2 linked regions of the Struthio camelus genome follow. The protein of the gene in region 1 purifies or fractionates together with the protein of each later gene. This does not show direct contact. Links are inferred from orthologs where the notes say so. Each region holds a gene or a part of one and is shown on either strand. Other genes may lie near its edges. The genes, in order: CHCHD4 and TIMM10.

Evidence for each region.
Region 2: the proteins of CHCHD4 (region 1) and TIMM10 purify together in Homo sapiens (co-immunoprecipitation; 4 studies listed by BioGRID and IntAct, with this or other methods). This does not show direct contact. The link is inferred for Struthio camelus from reciprocal best matches to the Homo sapiens genes CHCHD4 and TIMM10.

Annotation. Positions count from the first base shown.
Region 1 is NC_090955.1:9,006,125-9,010,038, reverse strand, and holds the start of CHCHD4 (mitochondrial intermembrane space import and assembly protein 40), read left to right. Parts: upstream 1-969; 5' UTR 970-1,213; coding exon 1,214-1,235; intron 1,236-3,883; coding exon 3,884-3,914. Other genes in the region: TMEM43 (transmembrane protein 43), read right to left, coding at 1-103, 818-829.
Region 2 is NC_090946.1:7,520,083-7,522,947, forward strand, and holds TIMM10 (mitochondrial import inner membrane translocase subunit Tim10), read left to right. Parts: upstream 1-1,047; 5' UTR 1,048-1,154; coding exon 1,155-1,225; intron 1,226-1,863; coding exon 1,864-2,065; 3' UTR 2,066-2,135; downstream 2,136-2,865.

The sequences.
Region 1 (3,914 bases):
CCATCAACATGCCCCCAGAAGTTTCGCTGAGCCTCTCCAGGAACCCTGGTTTGGACTCGCTTGTGATTTTGACATGTTCTTTTTTGCTGCCTGTGTCAGAGAACTGTTGGAGGCAAACCAAAAATGCAGTATTGCTACAAAAGGGCAAGGCGTTCTGTTTCAAAATAAGTCTTTCAGCTTTGTTAAAACTGCTACTCCGCAGCACAGCCCCTCTCTCCTCGGACATAAGCTTTTCCTCACTTGCAACTGTCTCGTCATACTTTCGATAGTGGAAATACAGTCAATAAATAAAGTCGATAGAACTAAATAAGCTTGGTAGAAAAAAAAATTGCTAATATACTGGCCCAACATTTGTTAAAGCTTCCTTCAGCCTGTCCCTCGGACTTCTCTGTTGCATACACGCCCCACAGCCAGGCCAGGAAAAAAATGAGCAATACTCCTGAATTCCAGAGCAGCTACAACACCGCTATAAATAACAAGCTACGTTTTACCTCACCAGAGGATAAGAGCCTACCGCCTTTAGAATAACTGCACCTCGGGCCACAAAAGGAGAGCTAGCTTAACACAAAAGTGTTGTTCCTGTCCTAGAGGGTGCTGCGTTAAAGCGCATGGGTTTCTATACGCGTGTATTTTGGAAAGGGGCAATAACCGAGAAGCAACTGGGGAGCAGCACACGCAGCTCAGGGCGGCGGGGAGGCCCACAGGCCTCGCTCGGGGAAGCCCCCGGCGGCTTCGCACCAGCCCCACCGCCGGCCCCAGGCCCCTCTCCGCGGCCGGGTCCCCCGGGGGAAACCGCCACCCATCAGCGCTCACTCACGTTCCTCGACATCTTCTTCGTCTTCCCCTCGCCGGGTCCCGCCTCAGAGAAGCGGCAGAAAAGCGCCGCCCGCCGCCGCGCCGCCGCCGCAGGGTCTGCTGGGACACGTAGTTCCCAAACGCCGCAGGGCACGCTGGGAAACAGAGTCCTCCCGGCTGGCGCGCGGCAGGCCGGGATACGTAGTCAGAACCCGCTCGTTCCCTTCCCGCCTCGGCGCTCGGGAGGAGGGGCGCCCGCGGCCGCCGGAGGGCAGGGAAGGCGCTTCCGGAGGCGGGAGGTCACAGCGTGGAGCCGCGCGCCGCTGCCCGTTGCTGTGGTGGTAGCGGGAACGGGACGCCGGCGGGGTCAGTCTGCGCGCGCGCCGAGAGGGAAGCTACCGCACCGCCCCGCACCGCCATGTCGTACTGCAGGCAAGAAGGTGCGGGCCGCGCCGGGGCGTCCTCCCAATGTCACCGCCGGGGTCAGGCCGGGCGGGTTCGCCCTGAGGCGGCGGCAGCAGCGGCAAGGGGAGGGGGCCTGTGATGGGGCAACGCGCAGCCGCCCGCCGCTGCCCGTGAGGGAAGGGCGCAGCCTGAGGCGGCAGGAGGCGAGAAAGCCGCCCGGGGGCTGTGTGTGGCGTTGGCCCGGCCCTGCCCGCCTTCCGCCGACCTTTCTCCTCACGGCGGGCGGTGGCCGCGGGGCAGCGCGGCCGCTGGGGGCCCCGCGGGGTGAGGCGGAGCGGGGCCGCGGGCGCGTTGGGAAAAGGCCGCCCCGCAGGCGGCGGTTGGCGGCGGCCGGAGCAGAGCGTGTGCGCGCCTCGGGCCCCGCTCTTAGCTCGCGGGGCGCGGCCGTGAGGCGGCGGAGGCGTGCGCGCTCCCCTGGGGAGCGGTGGCTTCCAGCAGAGGTTAACCTTCTGCAAGCTTTAATAGCCGGAGTTTGCTGCCTTATTAAAAAGCCCAGTAGATGAGCAGCGTGGTGTGTGAGGCTTGATGCTTTTGTGCCTGTGCAAGGTGTTGTGTTGCACGGGTCATGTTATTTATTAGGCTTGGCCAGCTGATGCCCTGAGGGGGGGGGGGGTTCTCCTTTGACTAATGTCAAATGACTAAATGTAAAATTTCAAACTGGTAAAATCCGTTCTCTAGTTCGAAATGCCATTTTGAAATGGCAAACTTTGACACACTGAATGCTGACCATGTATGGTTGTAAAGTAATTATAACCTGTGCCACTCTTTGTTTTGTTTTACTGTTTATTTTAATAACATCTTGGGCCTTTGCAAGGACCCTCTGTAAGTTCTCTTATAGTATTCTACAAAATTACAACAATTATAGTGACGGGGTTAGAGTTTATATCTTTCTAGTTCCTTTTATTTAAGAAATCACTGAATATTCTGCGTTGTAAAGTCTGCTGGAGTACAATACACAGTTGACCAAAAAAAACCTTCCCCCCCCTTTTTTTTAGGCTATTTAGATTGATCTGCTTTTAAAAACATTAAAATGTGTACTGATTACAAAGCAAACTAAAGGGAGTGTTTGAACATCTGCTGGTTGAGGTAATGTTGACAGGCAAGAAGATCCTAACTTCTAATATACTGAGTCACTGCAGCGGCCTTTCAGAATTTGGAGAATGAAAGGAAGATCTTGGGGAACTTACCATTTTCTTTCTACTCAATGAATAATCAGTTGTGCGTTCAGAAGAGTTTCAGCGAGATGCTCTTTTCTGGTTGTGTGTTACATTTTTCTTTTTGAGCTAGCCTTTAGAAGATTTCCCTGTAGTCTTACAGGGTTGTTAGGAAACTCTTCCCTGGCTTTCAGCTAAATCTTTTTTTCCTACAGAACTTCTTTGTTCAATAAAGGGTGGCATGAGAGCAGGAAATACACTGCGCTGTTTTTCTGTCTTTGATAATGTTCACAGTACCTTTCAATATAATTGGTTCTGCACTTAGGGACTTCATTCTTTATTCCAGATCACTATTATAAAATATTACACCAGGTAATTCCACCAGTCTAAAGGTAGACTACTGTTCTTAAGGAATATCCTACTGAACGCTTTCCTAGTCCATGTAAGAGAGTAGTTGTCTGAGCTTGTTTTGAAACAGCTTTTTAACTTCACTGTTCAATGAACTGTTCTGTGATCTGCAGCTATTACAGTATGTTGCTGTGAAAATTAGAACTTTAGAGCAATAAAATTTCAGTTAGCTTCTATATTTTTGGCAAGTAAATGGATGATTTGTTATAATATATTCTAAGACTATTAAAATAGTTTTAAAGCACTCATTTAATCTTTTTTTTTTGTACCCTTTTCTGTGTACCAAGAGTGAGGCTGCTACTTTCATAGTTTTCTTCTGTGCATTTAGTGTTTGTGGCTTCATATTTAGTTAGCATTGCTTAAGAAATCTAATTTTGGGCTGTTTGCTCCCAGCACCTGTCATTGCACTATGTTGGCCCCACTGTCCTAACTACTTTAGGTCAGGAGGGTTTAAAATTCAAAATACTATGAGGTGTCTCTCAAATGCTGCCACAACTCAAAAATGGTATGCAGTCCTTTCCTACTACTGTGAGTCCTGATAGCAGATTATGGTCTCCCATTGAAATGAGTACTTGTTTTATCTTGCATGTTGTTTAATGAGAACTTGTCCCCATCTCCCTCGACATCTAGTTGTAATGCCTAACTGAAACATTTATCATAAATCACTCTACTGAGTTATGTCTTTTTTTCTGTTCCTATTGGCTACTGAGAATAATTTCCTACAGGTATGTGAGTATGGTACAAAGAGGATAAACAGGATCTGTTTATCTTATTGTTTTCCTTATAGAAGAATTATTACCTAATCTTTTTGAACTTCTGTTGATGTTTTTTATAGGTCTTATTTCTAAGTCTCTTACAAGTTTTAGCAGCATTCCTGTCAATACTTGTCGAATTGTCATTCTGTATGTGGTCCTCTGAACCAACAACTGTTTTAGTTGATGGCAATTGATAAGTTAAATAGTGTTCATTAGCTATTAACACGTGATGTTCAGCAGCTTTGTAAGTGACTTGTTGTGCCTTGGCTTTCTCTGAACTTTTACTTGTTTTCTTTTAAATGGTAGGAAAAGACAGAATTATATTTGTGACCAAAGA
Region 2 (2,865 bases), on another chromosome or scaffold:
TGGGGGGACAGGGACCCCCCCCAGGGCCATGGGGACAAGGGGGGACAGGGAACTCCCCACAGGGCCATGGGGACAAGGGGGGACAGGGAACTCCCCCCAGGGCCATGGGGACATGGGGGACATGGGGGGACAGGGACCCCCCCCAGGGCCATGGGGACAAGGGGGGACAGGGACCCCCCCCAGGGCCATGGGGACATGGCGGACATGGGGGGACAGGGAACTCCCCACAGGGCCATGGGGACATGGGGGGACAGGGACCCCCCCCCCAGGGCCATGGGGACAAGGGGGGACAGGGAACTCCCCCCAGGGCCATGGGGACATGGCGGACATGGGGGGACAGGGAACTCCCCACAGGGCCATGGGGACAAGGGGGAACAGGGACCCCCCCAGGGCCATGGGGACATGGCGGACATGGGGGGACAGGGACCTCCCCCCAGGGCCATGGGGACACACGGGGATGGGGGGTACAGGAACCCCCCCCCTGCAAGGCCATGGGGACTCGGGGGGACAGGGGAGGACAGGGAACCCCCCCACAGGGTCATAGGGACATGGGGGACATGGGAGGGACAGGGACACCCCCATAGAGCCATGCAGAAGGGGGGACATGAGGGGACCCCCCATGGGGCCGTGGGGACGCAAGGGGACGGGGGGGGACTGAGACCCCCCACAGGACCGTGGGGACACAGAGGGGACGGGGGGGGACTGAGACCCCCCCCCACGGGGCCGGGGGGGGCCGGGGCTCCCCGGACAGGCCCACGGGGCCGGGAGGACTCCGCGGAGGGGGCGGGGCCCAGCCGCGAGGGGGCGGGGCGCGCCTTCGCCAATCCCGCCCGCTGCTGCTCTGGCTCCGCCCCCTTCGGCGGGCAGCGCGAGCGTCCTCTCTATCCGCCGCCCTCACCGTCCCCCCCCCCCCGCCCCGCAACCCCGCTCCCTCTCTATGGCTGCCCCGCGCCGTCCCGCCCCCTCCTCCCGGCCCGCCCTATCCGCGTTGGGGGCTGAGCCCCTGCCCTCTCCGCGCCTGGCTCCTATTGGCTCCGCCGCGAGGCGGGGCGGTCCCGTGCCGGGGCGGAAGCGCGCGCGCGCGCCCCCACGTGGTTCCGGCCGGCAGCCGCCGCCGCCGCGGGGTGGTCGTGCCCGTGCCCGTGCCCGGCGCCATGGACCCGATGCGGGCCCAGCAGCTGGCGGCCGAGCTGGAGGTGGACATGATGGCCGACATGTACAACCGGTGGGGACCAGCGGGGCACTGGGCGGCGCTGGGGGACAGGGGGAGGAGCCCGGGGCTGGGGGGGCGTTGGGGGGTGCTGGGGGGCACGGGGGGTATTGGGGGGCTGGGGGTGGCTGGGGGAATGGGGGGCGCTAGGGGGCACGGGGGGCATTGGGCTGGGGGGTGCTGGGTGCTGTGGGACATTGGGGGTGCTGGGGGGCATGGGGGGTGTTGGGGAACATTGGGGGTGCTGGGGGGCATTGGGGGGCTGGGGGGTGCTGGGTGCTGTGGGACATTGGGGGTGCTGGGGGGCATGGGGGGGCTGGGGGGTGCTGGGTGCTGTGGGACGTTGGGGGGTGCTGGGGGGCATGGGGGGTGCCGAGGGCTGTGGGACACTGGGGGGTGTTGGGGTGCTGTGGGACATTGGGGGGGGTATGGGGGGCATTGGGGTGCTAGGGGGCACGGGGGGTGCTGGGGGGCATTGGGGGTGCCGTGGAACATTGAGGGGTGCTGGGGGGCATGGGGGACACTGGGGGGCATTGGAGGGTACTGGGGGGCACGGGAGGTGCTGAGGGCTGTGGGACATTGGGAGGTACTTTAGGGGGTGCCGGGAGGCGCTGGGGGCTCGGGGGACGCCCGGGTGACGGGTGCCGGCGCAGGATGACCCACGCGTGCCACCGGAAGTGCGTGCCCCCCCACTACAAGGACGCCGAGCTGTCCAAGGGCGAGAGCGTGTGCCTGGACCGCTGCGTGGCCAAGTACCTCGACGTCCACGAGAGGATGGGCAAGAAGCTGACGGAGCTGTCGCTGCAGGACGAGGAGCTCCTCAAGCGCATGCAGCAGGGCTCCGGCACCGCCTGAGCCGCCGGTGGGACACCCGCCCGGGACACCCTCTCCCCGCCACCCCAATAAACCCAGGTGTTTCGGAGCACCCTCGGCTCGCCGCGGCGTCACTCCGGGACGCGGGTACCACTGCAGGGCAGCGAGGCTCGGAGCCGGGGCGGCGGCGGGGGGATTCGCTTGTGGCTCGCAGGGGGTCGTGCGCACCCCAGCCGGGGGGGTGGCAGGGGAAGAGGTCTTTTCCTCGACCCCCTGAATCGGGATGAGCGGTGGTGCTGCCCTGGCTGTCCCCTGCTGTCCCCTGCTGTGTCCTTGCAGGGTGCACCCCTGGGTGCCCCCGCCCCGCCCCGGGCCCAGCCCTTATAATCCCCGGGATTAGGCAGAGCTGGCCTGAGCCCCATAATCCCCCGTAGGGTGGGCGCAGGGCGCTGTCTGAGCCGGCCCCGCTGGCCTGCAGGGACAGCCGGAGAGAGACACCCCCTGGGGACACCTGCGGGGACAGGCGCAGGGACAGCCGGAGAGAGACACCCCCTGGGGACACCCGGAAAGAGACACCACCCAGGGACACCTGCACAGAAGCAGCCCAGAGGTGCGTGTGTGCACACACACCGGGGGACACAGGCAGGGACACCCCCAGGGACAGCCAGAGAGAGACAGCCCAGGGACACCCCCATGGGGACACCTGCACGAAGGCACCCTGGAGACACACGCGTGCACCAGAGACAGCCGGAGAGAGACACCCCAGAGACACAGGCATAAGGGACAGCCGGAGAGAGACAGCCCAGGGATGCTTGGACCCCCACAGGGACAGCTGGAGAGAG